Caenorhabditis elegans: one gene and its partners. The protein of the gene in region 2 interacts with the protein of the main gene of each other region in a pairwise test. Each region holds a gene or a part of one and is shown on either strand. Other genes may lie near its edges.

The links. Proteins that work in one complex are often made in the same cells at the same time.
Region 1: the proteins of mus-101 (region 2) and cey-4 interact in a two-hybrid assay, tested with the Caenorhabditis elegans proteins (2 studies listed by BioGRID).
Region 3: the proteins of mus-101 (region 2) and R53.4 interact in a two-hybrid assay, tested with the Caenorhabditis elegans proteins (2 studies listed by BioGRID).

What each region holds. Positions count from the first base shown.
Region 1 is NC_003281.10:10,866,446-10,872,185, reverse strand, and holds cey-4 (CSD domain-containing protein), read left to right. Parts: upstream 1-3,482; 5' UTR 3,483-3,566; coding exon 3,567-3,618; intron 3,619-3,664; coding exon 3,665-4,277; intron 4,278-4,806; coding exon 4,807-5,026; 3' UTR 5,027-5,240; downstream 5,241-5,740. Other genes in the region: vps-50 (Vps54_N domain-containing protein), read right to left, coding at 167-1,322, 1,972-2,405, 2,453-2,668, 2,717-2,794; oxi-1 (Ubiquitin-protein ligase E3B), read right to left, coding at 5,320-5,740.
Region 2 is NC_003279.8:10,477,549-10,488,454, forward strand, and holds mus-101 (BRCT domain-containing protein), read right to left. Parts: upstream 7,417-10,906; 5' UTR 7,414-7,416; coding exon 7,372-7,413; intron 7,321-7,371; coding exon 7,189-7,320; intron 7,151-7,188; coding exon 7,002-7,150; intron 6,942-7,001; coding exon 6,698-6,941; intron 6,648-6,697; coding exon 6,504-6,647; intron 6,451-6,503; coding exon 6,218-6,450; intron 5,899-6,217; coding exon 5,611-5,898; intron 5,561-5,610; coding exon 5,410-5,560; intron 5,363-5,409; coding exon 5,119-5,362; intron 4,660-5,118; coding exon 4,497-4,659; intron 4,445-4,496; coding exon 4,258-4,444; intron 4,209-4,257; coding exon 3,664-4,208; intron 3,270-3,663; coding exon 3,062-3,269; intron 2,928-3,061; coding exon 2,775-2,927; intron 2,724-2,774; coding exon 2,364-2,723; intron 2,233-2,363; coding exon 2,041-2,232; intron 1,996-2,040; coding exon 1,870-1,995; 3' UTR 1,754-1,869; downstream 1-1,753. Other genes in the region: row-1 (C2H2-type domain-containing protein), read right to left, coding at 1-30, 174-416, 468-547; F37D6.3 (BED-type domain-containing protein), read left to right, coding at 9,166-9,204, 9,255-9,557, 9,607-9,774.
Region 3 is NC_003280.10:9,966,777-9,971,254, forward strand, and holds R53.4 (Putative ATP synthase subunit f, mitochondrial), read right to left. Parts: upstream 1,274-4,478; 5' UTR 1,272-1,273; coding exon 1,156-1,271; intron 1,092-1,155; coding exon 848-1,091; intron 802-847; coding exon 700-801; 3' UTR 501-699; downstream 1-500. Other genes in the region: dtmk-1 (Thymidylate kinase), read right to left, coding at 1-41, 89-208, 263-305; psf-1 (putative DNA replication complex GINS protein PSF1), read left to right, coding at 1,905-2,003, 2,050-2,114, 2,183-2,258, 2,310-2,399, 2,445-2,654, 2,735-2,800; R53.5 (Peroxiredoxin-like 2A), read right to left, coding at 2,917-3,038, 3,083-3,302, 3,347-3,478, 3,524-3,709. UniProt on the Caenorhabditis elegans protein: Mitochondrial membrane ATP synthase (F(1)F(0) ATP synthase or Complex V) produces ATP from ADP in the presence of a proton gradient across the membrane which is generated by electron transport complexes of the respiratory chain.

The DNA of each region.
Region 1 (5,740 bases), on a different chromosome or scaffold from region 2:
AAAAATTCCGCAGCAATGACTAAATTTGGAAATTACAGTACCCCTTAAAGGCGCACACCAATTTGTTTACAACAGAAAATTGTAATATTTTTGTAGAATTCGTGGTCGAAATCTTGTATTTTTCACCAGAATTCGAAAAGATCGTGGCGAGACCAAGAAAACTCACCGACGCAAAGAAAAACTCGTATAAATCAATAATCGCTGGTGCAGACTTTGAGCAAAGTGTCGGCAGAAGTGCTGTCATTCGAAGATATCTTCCGAAAAATCTCAAAAGATTCAGAGCAGTATTGCAAAGATTCGGAGGTGGTACACCAGAAGGCTCGTCCAGCGGATCCTCGGAGAAGCTCTCCTGCTTCGTTAGATTCGGATTATAGTTTTCATTTTGAATTTCAGTTGCCGCTGAAGATGTTGAATAGCTCCGTTCAGACTTTTGGCTATAGGATGATTGAAGACGGGATCGGATGGCAGCTTGGCAGAATGGATTCTGCCAATCGTTGCCGATCAGCTCCACGGTTTCTTCCTCACTATTCTCCGATTCTTCTCTGGATTTCGGCGAACTTTCGATTCTAACTGATTCCTTCAAAAACTCGAAGTCTTGCAAATCGAAAATCGTGAACTGAAATGGTACTGGGCACAATGCGAATGATTCGTTTTCGAAGAACATCGAGAGCTCCTCCATTCGCTCGGTATGATATCGGTCAAAGTAGGTCTCGGTCCGTTTTTCAATGGATTCTGCGAGCTTCTGATGGTGTGTGCTGGCGAAATAGGTCTTGCCGATATTGTTGAATCGATTGATGGTATCTACGATGTCAAGAATATGTTCAAACTTTAAACTGACAAAGTCTCGAGATTCAACTAGAACTTGAAGCCTGCGAGTTGCTGCTAGAAACACTTCTGTTCTAGAAGCCAGCAGTTGTTTGTAGATGCTTTGGGATGCTTCACTAGCAGATTCCGAGCTATGGAAATTTAGAATCTTGTGAAACGCCTGGAAACTCCTGCACAGCACAAATCCCATCTCTCGGAAGGTGATGGAAGCCTGCTCGCTGTCCAGCTTCAAGCAAAGACTTGTGTACGAGGAATCTTCGAGACGATCCTCTTCCTTCAGCTTGGATAGGACCACCGCACTGGTTGTGGTTTCGATGGCTTCGACGAAGGCGGTGAGCAGCTTCTCGGCGACTTGCTCGGTTTTCTCCAGCATCTCGTAGGCGGTGTACACGAATCGATACTTCTCGGAATCGAAGACCACAGCGATTGTGGAGAGTTGCGCGGAGAGTTCGGCTTCCAGGAGACAGCTCATTCCGGCGAGCTTTGAGATTACTTCGCTGCAAAATTTTGGTCAGGAAAATCTGTGCTCTTTTCCTTAATGGGTCCCGCAACGATTTTGTGTTAAAAATAGCCGTTCATTCAATTTTGAATCGAGAAAATCCATTTCTCCGGGTTTCTACTTTAAAATTTGATTTATTCTCTACAAATTGTGAAATATTTCACATTATTGAAGTAAGTTCTGAAGAATTTAACATTCAAAAAAGTTAGTTTAAGCCAAATTTGGTCAAAATTTTAAGCTTTTTTAGATTGAATAATTTAAAGTAAGTTTCTACATTTTTCGAACATTTTTTAGTTTTTGAGTTATTAACAAAAAAAATCGTTTTTTCACTTTAAAACTATTTTCCACGTTTAAATTTCAGGCGTTATATTGATTTCCACCTATTTTTGCCCAAAAAATCGGCTTAAAACGGTAAAAAAATGATCATTTTCAACAAGAATAATTCAAAACTTAAAGAAAATGTTTAAAAAATAATTACCATAAACCTTTTTCGCTGCGAGACCCATCTTGAAAAACACGTGCGCCTTTAAAAGGTCTTCGAAAGTTTTTGGGATTTTTAGCTTAAAATGTGAATTTTCAGCCGCTTTTTTCGATTTTTGAGCATTTTTTTTTTCTCATTTTCATTCAAAAATCCATTTAATACTTACTTTACACATGTAAAATGAGCGTATCCCCCGGCTTTTATTTGAGTTTCGATTAGCATTTGAATTGCAAGCGGGAAATTTCCTTCTTCAATAGTTTCTCGAATGTGCTGTTCGGTCTCGTGGAAGCCTTTTATCGTTGTGAGCGTCATTTTCAGCTGATTTAGAACGATTTTCTTATTTTTATAAGCGATTAATCCGAGACACGTCCGAGTTTGGCTTGTCGCCAGCGCGAGCGCTTTTCGTATCGTCAGAATTTCGTTGATAACACTTCCGACTTCGTCTCGGATTTTCTCCATTTCACCGACCTGTGCCGTGTAGGATGAAGATTTTTGCATGATTAGTGTGGATATTTTCTTGGAAACCACAGTATGCTGAGATTTTAGCCGAAACCTCTCGCGCTGGATGTCCTCGTAGCACATTTCGATGTCACAGAGCTTCTAAAAGTTAAAATTTTCGTTTTACTTGGTTTTTTGTTCCACTAAACCTTCAATTCATAGTCAATCGCATCGAACTCATCGTTATCTATAAAATACGCGGCGTCTATCGAGTTGATGACGTCATCTTCCTCGGAAATTTTTGATTTTACTCTCCGAGGCGTTGAGTTTTGTGAATTACTCTCTGGAGCTATTGGAGGGCTTTCCGAGCACGACGGAGCATCGTAAGAGCTCATAACTTTCTCGTTCATATTATCTAATAAAACCTGAAAAGTCGATTTAATATTTGACATTTTCCTTGAAAAAATTCCCACTTTTACATCGCTATCCGAAGAAAATTGTTCGCCTATTTGATTAACAGTTTTTGCTAGTTGTTCCTTAAATCGGTCCATTTCTCGCCAAGCTTTCACCTCTGAAATTGTTAATTTGTTAGTATTTTAATTTAAAAAACCAGCGGAAGCAAGCAAAATTAATTTAAATTTCAAGTAGCAGTATCGATTTTTCTGTAAATCCTGTGAAAAACCACTCGAAAATCTAATTATTCCAATCGATTTTTCCCAAAGAGGAAGCTAAAAGCGGATAAGAAAGAGTAAATCCGAGAAAAAGTGTGCCAGGGTGTTGCGTTTCCTTGCAATGCGCGCGCGTTTCTCTATTGCGAGCACAGCACCATTTTTCAAATAAGACGTTTTCTCCCTTCTTGGCAGTCGATTTTTATTAGTTCTTTCTTATTTTTTGGTGAAAAATTGAAAATTGCCGTCGTTTCTTCGGTTTTTTGGCGTTAAATTGAATATTAAACAGAAAAATTGTGATAATATGAGGAAATATCCTAAAATTCTCGATATATTTCGAAATTGTAAGAGCTTTTTTGCAATATTTCCCCGATTTTTTCCATTAAGTTCGTTCCGATTTCCAATAAATTTGAAAAAAAAACAACGGCGCTTAGCACTTTTTAATCGGATGATAACATTTCCGCCCCATGTCAATTTGACTTATCGATCGTTCTGTCGTGTCATTTTCCACCACACCCTTTGTGTGGCACATTTGCATTCGATGTTTATATTTAATTTTTTTTTTTTGCAGAGTGTAGTTGAGTACAATCAGCTCAGAGGATTTTCCTCACCCCCTTGACACCATCAAAAACTAAGGCCAACGCCGTGAAACATCATGTCGACTGAACAAGCTAACGGAACAACTATTGAGGAGAAGAAGGACAAAGGTGAGTAGGACAGGTGGTCTTCAATATTTAATCCCTCAAATTGCAGTTGCCGAGGTGACCGAGAAATTGGACAACCTGGCCGTCGACACTACCAACGAGGCGAACGATGCAAAGCAGCCAGCACGTCGTGGCGGATTCCGCGGACGAGGACGTGGTCGTGGTCGCGGAGGACACTTCTACCAACCAAGACCACCATATGAGGATCAGATGAAGAAGCTCGAGGAGGATCTTGCATCGAAGAAGGTCATCGAGACCGGTGTCAAAGGACACGTCAAATGGTTCTCCGTTCGTGGACGCTACGGATTCGTTGCTCGTGATAAGCCAACCGACGAGAATGAGGACTTCTTCGTCCATCAGACCGCCATCACCAAGTCAAGCACCATTAAGTTCTATCTCAGAACTCTCGATGACGATGAGCCAGTCGTCTTTGACATTGTCGAAGGACTCAAAGGACCAGAAGCCGCCAACGTGACTGGACCAGATGGGGAGAATGTTCGTGGATCGAGATTCGCTCGTACTTTGCTCACCCATTGGAGAACAAGAGGACGTGGTGGTGCACGAGGACGCGGTGGACGAGGACGTGGTGCTCCACGTCAGACACGTGACCAGGACGGAGATGAGAAAGATGAGAAGGAGAAGTCGGACACCATTGAGAATAGGTTAGTCTAGCTTTTAGTAACGGTTCTGGTGTTTTTAGGCTCAAAATGCGCTCAAATAAACCGATTTATTTAAAAAAAAAAATGAAAAATGGGCTGAAATTAAGTAAAATCTCAAAGTGGCCGCCGAAAGTTGATATTTTCGGTATCATCTGCTTTTATTGCATATTTTAGTCGTTTATCTCATATTAGTTCGTTGATTTTTGGCATTTTTGGTTACCTATTGGTGTAAAAACTACTTTAATCAACGAAATAATGTGAGATAAACGAGCAAAATATGCAATAAAGGTAGATAATTCCGAAAAAAAAAATCATTTTTGGACAGAAAGTGGCCAAATTGGACGTTAGCCCATTTTTTCAAATTTTAAAGAAGTTTTATTATGCAATTTGCACATTTTGGGTCTATACCAGGGGTGTGCGGCAAATCTCAAAATTTGCCGAGCTCGGCAAATTCGGCAAATTTGCCGCACACCCCTGGTCTATACGTTCCATTTAAAACTGGAATTTTAACTCTAAAATTACAATTTTTCAGCGGAGACGGAGAAACTCGCGGAAAGCGTCGCACTCGCCGCCACGGAAAGCTCCAGCCAGATGCTCCATCCGGCGAGAAGGGAGACGGTGATGCTGCCGCTGCCACTACCGATGCTGCTCCAGCCGCCGAGAAGAAGAAGAAACGTCAGCGCAAGGGAAATAAAGAGCCCACCACCACCACTGAGCAGAAGGAAGAGACCGCTGCTCCAGCTAAAGCTTAGGCTTCTAGCTGTTGACACCTACCATCAACTTTTGTTATCTAATTAAACACCTTTTGTATTGAGAACAGTCCCATTTCTTGAATTGTATAGCTGATCCTTTCGAAAAGCCCAAAATTTCCAAAATTTGTTCTGCACGATTTATATCCACTCAGTTCTTTGGAATTCAATTTCGAGAACTTTTTGAGTTTATATTAAGTAAAAGTTTCAATGCAAATGATTCTGTTCATTGTTTTATAGAAATCAAATTCAAACTACCAGTAAGCAATAAAAATATGTAATAAATAATTAGGAATTTAGGAAAGCTCGAATCCAGTCCCAGCGTGGATCGCGTAACGAAGTTTCTCGAGCAGCAGTGACTTCTTATTGTAATTCGGAAGCTTTAGCAAGTTAAAGCAGGTGGACGCAGTTGGAAGTCGAGTAGCTGCAGTTCCCTTTCTCAAAGCCAAGAATCCACGAACCACACTTCCCAAGGTGTCTCCCTGATCCTGATCGTCGGAAACTTCAACGCATCGAATGGAGAAGGGCGGCTCGAGATACGAAAATCCAAGAACAGGAGGTCTCGAGCAAGAAGTGACAAACTTTAGGAACAGTTTCCTCTCTTCTGAAGTGAACTTGTTCTCAAGAATATCCCAAAGCCATTTAATAAGCCGATGGTTTCCATGGAATCCTCCGAAATATTGCACATTGCGCTTCAGATCCGCCAGATCGATGTCT
Region 2 (10,906 bases):
GCCGGTGTACTGTGGACAGATGAAAATGGTCTACAAAAATCGCAAAAATTTAAATTCATCTAGTCCGACTTGAGAAATTAATCTAAAGCATTCAAAATGGTACTATAAGACCTTTTAGAAACTTATTAAAATGTGTAAATGAAAATTTATTTGTCTACTCCCATATTGGTTACCTTTTTAGACCTTTTGCCGCTAGTTGTACTAGAAATTGAGGATTTTGAAGAATAGCTGTCGCAGGCAATGAAGGCCTCGAATTTCGAATTCCTGTGGGAATTTCATTTCCTCGGAACGCAGGCTGATTCTTATTGTAGACGTCTGAGAGCCTTCTTATTCCGATCTGATCAAAATTCAAATTTTTTCCAGTCGAAACGTGAACTGTTGCTTGACTGTTGTTACCATGATTTGCTGTCGTACTGCTGAAAATACGGTAGATCGATTTCGAAGTGATTAACGGTTGATCTACATACGTTTTCAGAACGACGGGAGGTCTAGGCGTCAAAGGAATTACATCGTCGTCATCGTCGGAAAGTGTGATTACTTCTGCCATTGAATTTTCTTGTTGGTTATTGACTGGAAGTGTTCTAAAAACGAGATATTACGAGAATACAAGAGAGAGAGAGAAAATAAGAGAATTCCGAAGAATCGATCCGTTGATCAGGGGAGTGAGGGTGGAATGAAGACGTCGGGCGCCTATTCAAGAGACGCAGAATGGATAGAGAGGGAGAAAACGGAAGCGAAATGTGTGGCGGAGGGGCGCACTTTCATGTTTTCAATTGAGCTTGCTCCACGAGCTAGCATGGGAGAAATGTGAATTAGATAGGAAATTGTGAAATCGGAGGATTAGAATTACTTGGTTCAGAAATATCAGGTCTAAAACTAGAACTTTTCGTTCTGAAACTTAGATATTTCAAATCTAAATCTAAAGATGTGAAATCAATAATAAGTCGTTTTTATTTGACAGAGAGAGCTGGCTCTTGATTGAAATGTACTAAATAAACAGAGCCAAATAATATTGATTTGAAAATTTTAGTTAAAGATCTTTCTCGAGATAACATTAAAAATTCAAGTCTGTTGTATGATCTCCAGAACTCGCGCCAAATCTATTTTTGAAATATGTGAAGTTACATTGCGCCTCCTAGAGATCAAATGGCGAGCTGAAAGATCAATATACATGAAAATCGTACACTATCAAATCAAAAAAAGCTATTCCAAAAAGTGCTGTGAATTCTAAAATATATAATACATTATTTTTGAGTAAAACTGTGACCTGTTTTTCTATCTGCGCACGGTTTCTGATTGAAATGATTAAGTTTAAATAAATTATTGATTTTTTCAGTGGAAATATGACATATGTATAAGCGAAACTTTCGTTAAAACATTAAATGTATTGTAACAAATAAGCTCCGAAATTCAAATACCTTTTGAAGAATTTTAAAAGTAAGATATTTTGGTGTGGGACTAAAACCAAAATTTCTGGAAACGTTGTTAAAATTTCAAATACTAATCCAAAAAATACATAAGAAAACCATTCACTAGAGCGTAATTGCAAAAAGGGTAGTGCAAGAGAATGGAAGTAATTTATTGATTATTTTCCCGTTGTGCAAACCGTAGACAGCGGGAACATATGGCATGAGAGGCAGCTGCGCGCGTTTTCCCACTTGTTTGAAAAGATATTCTCTTATAAGAAATGAAACGAGAAGAATAAAATTACGTTATTTAAACGATTCAAAATAAATTAAAGCAACGAGGACAAGCAAAATTATTGAAAACTTTACGAAACAAAAAATTGAAACAATCACTAGAAATTTAAAAAAGACAAAAAATGAAACCAATTAAAAATATATAGCACATTTAGAAAATCGGAATGGCTCATGCTTTCATGTAGACATTATGCCAAAACTTGGTTCGATTTAGATTATCTCTGTCGATTAGGAAGTCGTAAAGGATGTCGAAGACGTAGATCGGAATATTATCACGTTTCAGCAACACAGCGCTCTTAAAATTTGAATAAATTTTATCGAAGAGATTTTCTTAATTTACCTGAGGATTCCATGGGAACTCTTTGGATGCCAAAACAATGTTAGGCTTAAGTGTAGATACTTCTACATACTCGGAAATCGAATGAACAATGGCACCACCGGCTTCCAGAATCGATGAAAATACGCCAGCTCTCTTATCGTCGAGATGAATTACGCAACGCCAATCCGAGAATGCTCCATTTTGACGATTCTCCTGAAAGATTTGCCCGTTTCAAACAGGTTGAGCAGACTAGTGAGTTTTGAATGTTTTTGGTTCTAGTAAATTTAAATTTCAATTCAGAAATTGACCCAAAAAGCCAGAAAGCTACATATCTAGAAACTGACCATGCTAACTGAAAATGTAACCGGCATCTCTGCCACACGTTGCCTCCATAATCCACAAACAGCTGCTAGATTCTCGGAAACTTTCCGACTATCTCGTTCTTTGAGGGACTCGTTCTTTTTCGAACACGCCAACAACTTTTCTCGAGTCCACTCAAATGATTTTTCATCGAGCCATCGACCAACTTCAGCACTTTTAGTCACATAATCAGGTGTTAGACACCATTTTCCAGCTGCAATTGAGCAAAGAACTTTTGGAGCTCTTTGCATGTTGCTCGCAATCAGATGAGTCACATCTTTATTGAATTCACGTTCGATGGTACCACCAAGCTTCATGATAGTTTCTTGTAGATCTGCGGCTCGCTGAAAAAAACAAATATATAGAATTGAAAATCAAAACTTAAGAAATCTAACTTGAGGATCCATATTAGAAACACTGAGCAAAAAACGTGGATTCATTGCATATCGACGGTTCAGATCTTCGTGTTCTTGATTTTGATCTGCGAATGATTCATCCATTGGCATATATCTCATTGAACGGTTTACATCACGAACAAGAACGGGAGTCTGAAAAATACACATTTATCTCATAGTTTTAATAAGCTGGCTATGAGTTTAATATATTTAATTCCTTAAACTATTCGGACAATACTGGAAACTATTAAATCTTCTAACGGTGATATACAACAGAAATGCCATACACTAGAGACAGTTTTTCGATTTTCTGGAACTCTGGGTCGAATTAGGTGGCACGTGGAAGGCTCATCCTCGAAATCTTCGTTTCTTCCAGTGTTCACGACAGCTTTTCGAAGGATGCTTCCAACTCGAGAAGTTGTCAGCGTTTCCTGTGTTTCACGTGCCGGTGACTCCATATTGTTGATGTATTCGCTAACACCGTCGAGTTGGAGGCTATAAAATTGGATAACATTGACAAATTATGTGTTATTTTAAAGTTTTGCAACTAAATTTTTTTTTCAGAAATATCTAAATGAGTTTAAGATATTACCATTATAACTCCCAAAAATGCTCCGAAAATACGGTCCGGAGAAATATTCTCCCGATTCTTCAAAATTTAATGTAATAATGTCTCATGTTTTTTTTCTTTTTTAAAATATACATTTCAAAAAACCTGATCAACAATATTTTTGAGATGAAGCTCCAGGAAAAGCTTATTAATAGAGAAAAAGTTGCACAAAATGCTGAAATACACATTTCTTTTTTTGAAAATCGCAATAACCTACAAATTACGGTAGTTAAAATTTAGAATTTCACAATTTTCATAATTTGCAACCAGAAAACTCACTTCATCGTATATGGCTTTCGAAGATCGGGGAAATAAGGATTCACATAGGGGGTCGTCATGTCACCGATGTTCCCATTCCCAGTTTCTACTGGTAGATCCTGTACTCGATGTCTATCTTCAACCTCAACTTCCATTTCTTGTGTACTATTATTCTTCTCTCGAGAACACTTTTCCCAGAGATCATCGTCTCGTTGAAATCCACTTAGAGGCCTCGTGTTGTTCTTATACAGGAAGTTATCAATTGGCTGCAATCGACATCTGCTCACACTGGCTATAATCCATGAAAAATCGAGTGTTCGGGAATGGTATCTTGGTGGATTGTCTTCTGCATCAATCATAATAATAAAATCCTTTGGTTCCAACTGCTCCACAATTCTTCCTCCATTGTCCTCGATAATATCTCTTACACGATCACGGAGAAATGGATCTTTGCATTTTAATTGGAAGCCACGTTGATTGAAAATTAGAATTGGAGGACGGGGAAGTGGTACAAATAATGGATAACACGATCGATTGAGAAATCTGTTGTTTCCGATGCTCGCGTACTGAAAAATAAATATATTGTCTGGCATATTGTCAGGTTTCAATCTTTACAATATAAAAATCCGTGACAACAGCATCAAATGAAATCAACTCGTGCATTGGTCCAGAATGTCCGAAAATCACAAACTCCGCATAATCTGGATCGTCCATCAGTTTGCCTCCATTCAACGGAATTTTCTCTTTCAAATCATCAGAAACTTCTTGATCGACGGAACAATGGACACAATACGTGTGATATCTGAAAATGAGAATATGGAAAAGGAACATAAAAAAATAAAATACAATCGTACGAGAAAATTCCGACTTGAGTTGAAGTAGAGCTTGGTCCTGATGTTTTACCATATGGAATGGTTGATTTAGACGAGGTCCGGGGAAGAGGCTGAGGTCTTACTGGTTGCAGTTGAGATTGAGAAGATTGTGATTCATCAGCTGTATTTTCAGTCCATTGATAACCTGAAAAAATTAATAGTTAAACTGTTCGTTCCATCCAGAGGTATTCGACACTTTTTTCGGTTCACTGTTGTATCGAAGTTTTTTTTTCCGGAGAATCATACATATATTATAAATATTTGTTATTTTCTGAAGATAACTTTATTTTCAGTTAAGTTTTGAGAAGTTGCATCAAAAGTTTCGTCGAAATATTTTGGTGTTTTTTGAGAACATCGAAATTATAAGGAAAAAATTGGGAGATATGTCAAAAATAGGTTTATGTTGATGAGAAAAAAAAAGTTTTGTAAAACGAAACTTCGAAGTTAAAAAAAAATTCAGTTTTAAACTGAAATCTTCAAGCAACTTATCGAAGCTATTAATTAAAGATGAAGTTTTCTTCAGAAAATACAAATATTTCTCTATTTACAAATTTCCGAAAAAAAACTTCGAAAGAGAAAGAGGATGTTGTAAAAGTGCTGAGACCTTCCACTGAAATCATTTTCCGCTGTTTGACACACTCGACCACCCATCCAACAGTAACAATTGCAATATCTTCTTGATGAAGGTGTTTTCGAATGGTAATTCGTTCTTGTTGATTCGGCGAAACTACAACCACATTCGTTGCTGATGTGAATTTTGCGACACGCGTTGCTCCAGTCTCGTTCAGAAATCGACGCCATTTTTCCATTCGAGACTCGTCGACTCCACATATATAGAACATGCAGTTCTGAAAAATTGATGTTAATTTTGATTTAAAGAATAGAAAAAAAAAACTTCAAAAAGATCTCCAAGTCCATCGTCAATATTTTTTCGAAGTTCATCGATAGGATCAGAAATAACGTCAGCAATATTTTGAACGGATGCTGTTTGAGTAGTTGGATATCGAATCAGTGGAGTAGTTTGAACTCGAGCTATTGGAGTTGATCTGAATATCGAAAATTCATTGTTCTTTCTAAAATTTCCGTTTTCACATACATTCCATCTCTAACTCCGCTTCCAGATCTTCCTAATGTTGAATCATTATTCGTAAAAGTACTCGACGGGATTTTTGACGTAGAAGCAAATGAAATAAACGAAGATCCTGATTGATGTTGATATGATTGATCCATTTGTGGAATAGAAGAATTGAATGAAGATGTACCCAAACGACCTCCATGTCCAGCGATTGATGAGATATCCGGCACACTTTCAGTCACATTAGCATCACGTTTCGGGGTGGAAGATCGAATATGATCAGCCGTTAAATATTTTGGATGATATTTTCTGTAAAACGCTTTTTCTGGCAACATCATTTGAATGGAAAGTAGAGCGCCCAAAAACGAGCAAATTTTATAATGAAACACAGAAAAAAAAACTGAAAAAAAAGGATTATTTTGCTAAAAACGGAATTTTCATTTTCCTGTCATTGTCGCAGTTTTTATTAAATCCTAAATTTTTATTGCATGTTTTGATAGCTTATCTCGCGTAAGCTCGTTGATTTAAGAATATATTTTTTCTGCAAAATGTTCCTCTTTTTCGGATTTTTTAATGTTTTTTGAATGAATGTCGCTTGATTTGAGCCAATTCCCTCTCAAAAACGAACCCCGCATCTACAAGATGTCCTAAATCTACACATTTCCGAATCCATCGAGACTGCACAATTTGCATTGATTTCCATTCAACAGCTTTTGCATATTTTACTCCAGTAATTTTATCACTGATAAGATAGCTACATCTGGTTTTTGACATGGTTCCAGGCACTTTTCCTCCGTGATCTTCAATCAGCTGAATGAAATTGGTACGATCAGCGCCGTCGATCGATGTGATTGCCATTTCCTGAATTTAAATGTATAAAACTGAAATTCAAATTCATGATTTCGATCACTCACGAGCCCTTCAAAAACTCTCAATGCATAGGAATTAACTGAATCCCGCGATAAAGCACTAAATCTGCCCATTGTGGTTTGAGAAGTTTCCCAGAGATCATCAATCCATCCGATTCGCATTAATTTGATTGAATTATTGACAGCAGCCTGGAATTTTTTTATTTTATTTTAAATTTCTGCTTGATATACTATTTAACCTTATACTTTTCCGTCTGTTCTGCTTTTTCAGTTACTAGGTGAGTCGTTTCGTGATATAGAGCATCTCCAACCACTCCACACATCCATCCGATTTTTTCGTAGAGTTCTTGCTTTTTCGTAAGATTCAACCCGGTGAAACTGATTTTTACGTCTTGAAAAACACTGGAATACACTGGATGATTCCATTGTGGGAGCTGCTTCCCATCTTCGATACTTTCAAGAACAATTGGAGGACCGTATACTCTGAATATTGTAATTTTATTTTGTGGACTTGAATTTATTTGAATTTAATTTAACACAAACTTCAATTTCCGGGCTTGAAGTTTTCGAAAAAGCTTTCCGCGGAAACAGGGTAAAACGAAAAAGTCTTCAGATTTCTGCAGATCTTCGAGTGCATCTGAATCAATCCATTCTGGCATGATTCCCACAGCTTTTGCAGTCTGAAAATACGCCTAAAACTTGAAAAATAAATAAATTAATAACGCAATACTTTGAATAACTCTTCTAAATTGCGAATTTCTTTGACTGTTGGTTCATTGGGAAGATCGACAAAGTACAATGTGAACGGAGAATCTTCTTCATCGTCATCGCAAAGCACCGACTCGTCTTGCATCCTACTGACCTGAAATTTGAAGTTTTGATATTAAAATTGTTGAAAATCAGATATAATTACCTCACTCCTTCGTGCCTTCTTCGGGGCCGGAGGTGCCTCCATTGTAAAATCTGGAATATTTTGATAATAAAAAAAGCTAATTTCGCCAGTAAAAAACTCAAGAATTGGCAGGGTAGGGTGTTAACATTAAGTTCAAAAATGACAGTTTCGCGCGTGTGAAATGCGAACAGACACGACGGGAAGTGGTATGACTGTCTGCGTCTCTCGATATTCTGAATAACAGAACTGCTGACAGTTTCTCTCATTTGTATGAAGAAATTTGTGAAAAGAGTTCAATCTGGAAGATGGAAATGTGAACATGGAGAAAACAATTGATCAGAGTAATTTAAATTATCTCAAAGCCAAAAACTGTACGGAACAGCGGCTTATAGCATCTCTATTTGAATGAAAATTATATAGCAGTTTCTCTTTAAAAACTTTTCCGAAAAAATCATCGGAAAAACCACTTCCTATTTTCCAAGTATCATCGCGCGTAAGTATTGTCCTTTTTGGATTTAAGGTTCAACGATACATTTTCACATACTGAAAAATGACGATACATTTTCATATTAGCGAGGAAAGGATGAAGAGTTCAACAACACCCAAAATTTCGAGATTCTACCGGAAGTTGATGTAAAAAAAAAGTAAAAAAAAAGGAGACCCGAAGAACTCGGGGATGTCCAATTGGGGGGATTACCAACTCGGGGGATTGGCCCCGCCCACAGAACCGTGGCTTGCAATACGCCCATTTCTGCAACTGCCGCACGGTTTTGAAACTGTATTTTTCTTGTTAATTCTCGCTCTATTGAGAAAAATACAGTTTCGAAACCGTGCGGCAGTTGCAGAAATGGGCGTATTGCAAGCCACGGTTCTGTGGGCGGGGCCAATCCCCCGAGTTGGTAATCCCCCCAATTGGACATCCCCCGAGTTCTTTGGGTCTCAAAAAAAGTAAACTATAAATTTTCCGTGGATCTGCAAAATTACGTGAAGTGTTTGTTTGCTTACGTTGCATACCGTAATCTGGAAAGCCGCCAATATCCTAAATTTCTCATGTCAAAAATCTTCAAGCTTGCCGGCCCAATTAACATTTTCAATTAACACCGAAAACACCGGAAACATATTTTTAAAAATGTAAAATGAACACGTGTATTCAGCTCGACCAACGCCTCGAAAATTTTCACAAAAAGGCGGGAAAAAATATTTGAATTCCCCAAGAGGAATTTCACCGCAGCGCGTGCAAAAGTCTGCATTTGCGCGTGACGGTGTTTGCACAAATTACACCGAATGGTCGAGCTGAAAACACGTGATGAATAAAAAACCTTTAAAAACTGTTGGTCTTAAAGGACCTATTCAATATGTTGTTGCTGGGTCTCACCACGATTGCTAATTAATACCGTAGTCAAGAGGCTTGGAAATCTTTTTTCCTAATATTCCATAAAACTTGTAAAATCTTTTGAAAATGTCTTTGTCTTCTTCAATTTCATGGTGTAAAATTAGTTTATTTCGAAAAATTTCGGTCAAAATTATGTCAATTTCAGTTTCAGACATGAAAACATTTAGAATAGATCAAAAATTGTTTGTCCCCAGTTTACGGCGCGAGCGGAAAATTTATGCGATTGTGTTTTCAAACTCGGAAGTTTTTTTTTTTTTCATACGGCTCAACGGCTCGATTCTTGATCAGTTTTTTCCATACTTTCTTGAAAAAAACAGGTCATTTTAAACCTTTTATCTATCTCTTACTTCTATTATATGATTTTATTTACGAAGCTAAAATGCCCATTTTTAACTTTCATAAATTACAGATTCGCTGACAAGATGAGTGACGAAATGCCTTATGAAATCAGCGTAAAGATTGTAATCAATTTATTTATTATTTATTGGTTTTCATTTTCTATTTCTTGCAGTACGCGCTGATCCCAAGAGAGTTCTTATGGACTGACGGGTCTTCTGTTCAGTGTGGACTCTGTCGCCAAAACAACGCATCTGTCACGCTTCCTCATGCGCCCGGAGCCATAAGGCACTTCAAACGACGCCACCGAAAGACATATAATTCCTTCTCTAAAGAAGTTCGGTATCAAGACTACCGGGCTCAAGGCGAAGCTGGACAAGATCCCAATTTCGAATACAATCGGTATCCAGTCCAAAACCAACATATGATGGCTCAAGGCCCAGGTGTCTACCCAATGTTGGCTGCTGCCGCTCCTCAGGTAGGCTTACTTGTTTTGCAATACTTAATTTAATGTTAAACTTTTTCAGGAGCAAAATCATCTTCTTGGTGATCGCATCTACGCTGGTGTCTCCCAAAACTGCATGGGATATCCACAAAATCCGCAAGAAGGGCCACGTGGACCACCACAGCCCTGGAACATCGATATTTCATCTTTCGTTGTTTTCATTGTCATTTTGTTTTTTTCATCTATATGAATAACAAAAAATGCAGAATCGGATTAGTGCTACAGTAGTTTTTTAAAGAATTACTGTAGTTTTCGCTACGAGATATTTTGCGCGTCAAATATGTTGCGTATTACGCACTTTCTGAATTCACTCTTCCCGGTATTGGAGAGAGAGTCACTACTGATGAGACCATTCTCTCTCCGTAAAATTAATTTGTATTAAGTCCTAGTCTAGTGGGAATGATCGAAACTGGGCAAATATTGTTCAACCACGTGTATGGCCCTCGGCAAAACGGCCTAACTTCATAGCATACTCTTGCAACTTCTTAACAACAATTAGGCATTTTAGCTTTTAAGCAAACTTCTGCAGCTTTTCAGACGACTTTTGCAATTTCTTAACAGATGTAAAGCTAAATTTCGCTCACAATCCCGTGGGTTTTCGCAACTTCTTAACTGCTTTTTACAAAGTTATACAAATGTTTTTATTGAGTTGCAGGAGTATGCTATGAAGTTGCGACGTTTTGCCGAGCAGTCCTGGACACTGGTAACTGTGATGTCGCCTGTGTCAAAAGTGAAATCAATCAACCACTTTTTGTCTCTACATATATTCACACATGTATATTGACACATAAAGTGTTACTTAACATCGACAGGTGGATGGATCAGTCGATTGACATTGAGAAACGAAGGAATCGATTGTTTCCCAGCCATCTGACCCAGAGACTATAAGATTCGATAGAACGCATTGTCTTCATTCATTCCTTTCATTTTATTGCATCGACTTTATTGCACCAGTTGCGCGAGAAATTTCTTTCAAAATAGGTTCTTTCAAATTCACAATGCAAACAATTTGATATCCAAAGTTTTATAAGCTCCCTCCCAATATTCGAAATATCAAATCTTAATTCTTGTTTCATTCCTCCAATAATGTCTGTAATAGAATTTTTTGGAAAGTGTTCTGTCAATAAAGTCCAACTTCAAAGTTTCAATAAAAATGCTAATATTTTCTCATGACACCATCAATATTCTTTCAATTACCAGATGTTTTTTTTATTCAAACTTAAACATCTACATATATGCTCAATTTCGGCATATGAAACAAAGAAGTCTATTTACATCTGGTGTTCGAGATACGGTTTCCCATCCTTTGCCAGTCCTGGCTG
Region 3 (4,478 bases), on a different chromosome or scaffold from region 2:
GAGATATTGATCAATTAGCTTTCCAATTGAAGAGGAACGATCTGAATTTTTGAAAATAAAAAAATATTTTTTAATTCTCTAGTTAAACCTGGAAAAGCTTGAAGAACGGCTGATGGGGAAGATGAAGCATCTCCGGATTCTGTGGATTTTTTGTTGATGGACTCAACGAGTCGCTTGGCTTGTGTCGACTTGCCGGACCGATCGAGCCCTGTTAAAATATTAAAATATTGATATTTCTTTAAAATTAAGCTAAATCAAATACCTTCGAATACAATCAGGAGCCCTCGTTTCTGATCAGTAGCCATAGGTGAAGAGATGAGGCTCTGGAAATAAGACAGCATGGAGAAATATAAAATAAAATAGAAACATGAAGACGCGCTTCTATAGAATCGGAACTTTAGATCTACAGATTCAAATCTAAAGATAAAGCCGACAGCGAAAAAATCCAGAAAATCGCATCGGCTATCTAACCTTCTTCTTAATATTTCTATTCAACCGATCCATACACTATTTATTCTCTCATAGAAAAAAGACACAAACGGACAAAATCGATAGGGGACTAAATTAACAGAAGACGTCTCGAGAATGAGATGAATTGGGGGAAAAAAGAATACGAAAAAATCGGATGGCTGTTTCGTCCTCCCCCAGCGACAGAGTTTGTATGTGGAGCTTTGAAGAGTAGACGAAATCGGATGGTGTCTACCAATGGTACATCGTCTTCTGGAAATCGACGTAACGGTGAGACTTGACGAGCCAATTGAGGAACGAGTAGGCGAAGATGAAGCGGAAGATTACCTTGACCTAAAAATAAAAAAAATTAGTATTTTTTTTTTAAATTTAAACGAACAGTGTTATTGTAGACTGGTCCTGAGTAATAGAGGTTGTGGACTCTCCAGATATTGCGCATGAACTCGTTGTAGAAGGCAGATGGGGTCTTCTCACGACGAGCCATCCAGGCTGGAAGATCTCCTAGCTTCACATCCATGAACTTGGTATCAAGCTTTCCGTAGTATCTCCAGTGGCAGTATGGTCCGTGAACGTTCTTGTTCCATCTCTTGTCGAACAATCCAACCTCGGTCTTGTTCAACACGCTAAAAATTATATCGGTTATTTTTGGAAAAGAATTTTATTCGTCGTTTTCAGACAATGACAAACCGGTTGTAGAAGAACACTCCGACACGCTCAACGGCGCGAGAGATCGGGATAAAGATCGCGTCCGGAACCCATGGTCTGAGTTGAGTGTGTGGTGGTGGAGGACGGAACCAGGCCATAACTGAAAATTCGAAGAATTAAAAAAATAAAAATAAACCAGATATTTAATTAAATAGTGAGAATCGAGTAACGATTAAGCCAAATAATCAATAAACAAGAAATTAATTAGAAAAACAACCAAAACAGGCATTTTGTTCAATTTAGCAAATATACACATGAATATCAGGAAGAATATACATTTAAAAAAGAACGTTCCAGCTCCAATAATCCTTAACTATGTGCTAAATATTGTTTTAAATATAAACATGTATTTTTGTAAACATTGATCATTATCGACCATGGGATTACGTTTCAGTAACGCCTAAAACGAATTTAACTCAGAATTTAGTGATATATTTGATTTTAGAAGAAATTAATTGAGTAAATAATGAAAAATCGTCAATATTCCACTTTTAAAAAATGCTTAAGAAAAATGTGTGCAGTTTTCAACGGGCGGCGATACATTTCGGCTAATCGCTGCGAGACCCATGGCCGTGGCCGAGTCTACAACTAGTTCACAAGAGCCGAAATGGTGGGAAAGTCGAGGACTTTAAATTTAATGTTTTTTATTTTCGAATTTAATATTTAAAATCAAGTATTTCCCTTTAAAATTTTATTTTTCAAATCAACTTTTAATTTTTGCAGTTCAAAAAATGAGTTCCGGCGATCAGAATCGAGGAGGCGTCGCCGACAAAGCACTACAACTTGTTTTAGAGATGAAAAGAAATCCAGATGTATTACCGCCTTATAACGTAAAATTATATCCTATTTTCTGCTTTAAATTTGAGTTCTTTTCAGACAGAACTTGTACGCCAATGTTATCAGAAAATCGATGAGTTGTTTCAAAAGAATGCTGCCGTCGTGTAAGTGATACATTTCGGAAGCGTACCGATTCGTTCGTGACTTCTTGATTTAAAATCATATTTTTCAGTGAAAAAATCCGTGCAGGACTCCCTCATGATTCTACGCTTCTTCAACCTCGTTTAGCTGCAATGTGCCATATTCGAGTAAGTCGAGAAGGTCGATTTTTGAAATATTGTAGTGGTTCAATTTTCCAGCGTTGCATGATGGCCTATGTGAACGAGAGGAAAAACAGGATTCGATCATTCAGATGGAAGTATGGAGGTGCTCTTCCCGCGTCTGTTAGGGTAATCGGTGCACATGATTAAAATTTGTCAACCATTATTTTTCAGAACGCCCTCTGCGATGCGGAAATTCAGTTTTTCAATGAGTATTCGAGCACATTGGCAAGATTCCAAAGCAATCTTGGAGAAGGTGGTGTTAATCTGCTGCTTCATTCTGCACCACCGAAGTCACTTTTTGTACAAGTTAGAGCTCTCGAGGATTATGGAGAATTTGAAACGTCAGATGGAACTCAAGTTCAGCTGTCCAAGGATAGTTTGGTAAGTCTTCGAATTTTTCTTTATTTGAAAAAAGAGAAATCCCGTTTTTAATTTTTTAAATAATGTATAACATTTTTCAGCACTCCCTTCCACGCCAAGACTGCGAAATGCTGATACGTCAGGGTGTTCTCGAGCTTGTTCATTGACTTGTTGTCGGTATTTTGTTTTCAACCTGTGATCTGTATAAATAGCTTCTTGTCAGTTTATTTTACAAAAAAAGTAGCCTCGTTTAATTAATTAAGAAAACACATAAGTTAAAAAATTATTTCGACTTCTCCGAGAATTTCTCGACGGCAGCACGAACTTCCTTGATATCGGCAGCATCTCCCCACTCCTTCTCCAAATGAGTGAACACGATGTCGTTGTTAGCAATCAAATAAACACCTGAACAATTATTATGAAAAAATAATTTTAATAATTTTTCGTACCTCCCAAAAGTCTTCCCTCTCCTTCCATGTTTCCCTCGACCTTGGCTTTCTTTGCTTTGTAAACATTCGAGTAAGTTCCGAAACGAAGAAATCCCATCCAAACTGGCAGCCAGCGTTCGTTTGGACCGTAGAAAGTGCGATCAGTGTCCAAATAGACATCACCGCCGGAGAACCAAGACTTGAACTCATTTGCTCCACGAGTCTCGTGCACAACGGCGGCCTGAAAGCAAAGTTTTAATTTTTCTATTTTGAAGGAGCGCTTACCAGTTCGATTCCTTTTTCCTTGAGCAACGGGAGCAGTGTGTGCAATTCAGCAGCTTCACGACGGCACAGCATACATCCCGGACGACGTACAGCCATCACCATGATCGGACCTTTCTTGAACAACGAGTCGGCCTGAAACTTCTCAAATAATTTTAATTTTAGAGTGAAAATGTTTACCGTAAACTGCTCATTTCTCTCCACAACTTCTTTTTCCTTCGGTCCACCACGAATTGGGACAAGTTTTGCGGCCGCCAAATGAGCAAAGGTTGGAGCAACAGCTCCGATTGTCAAATAAGTGGGAAGATTCGCGTAAACGAGAGCTCCGCCGAGAGCAGCGGCAGCTCCATAACCGAGAAATGCCATTTTCTGAAAGAAGAAGCTTTGGAAACTTGGAGTTATTCGAAAAAATGGTGACCACTTTGAAAATGCACATTAGAGACATTATTTTTGAATCGTCACAGCAAAATGAAATGCTCAGAAACTCGTAATTTAGTGAAATTCGCTATTACGGCCTTTTTTCAGTGTTTAGTTTTTTCTCAAATGAAAAGAAATTGAACTTAACATTTGGCTGACTAGTGAGTTCGTCGCGAGACCTATTCAGAATACTGTATGCGTCTTTAAAGTGAAGTGTTAAGTTTTGAAGTAATTATGATACAACTTTTTTTTCGTGGAAACTCAGTAAAAAATCGTCTAAAAATAAAAGAATAAAAAGAATTTCTGTTGGGAAAAGTTGTGTATGTGAAAAATGGTAAACAAGTTAGAGTGTAGTGTCTTATGGAAATAGTATGCAATTCTGAGAGAACGCATAGAAAAACGCTGATAAACACTTTTTGGTCGATGAGCTCTAGGCGTTCGAGTTTTTTTTTCTTCAAAAAACACCAGAAATCTCAATTAATCTGAATTAATCTGAAATATAAAATTTCTATGAACTTCAGATATCATTTTGTTCTGAAAATAATCACTCTACAACACATTGTTTTAAATACTCATTTGAAGAAGGAACAACTTCAGAATTCAAGAACAGTTGAAAATCGGGGGAAACATCAATTTGAAACAGGAAAAGAAGGAACAGAAGAAACCGAGAAAATAAGTACATTATTATGGAAGTGCATGTGATTTGTCAGGAGGCATG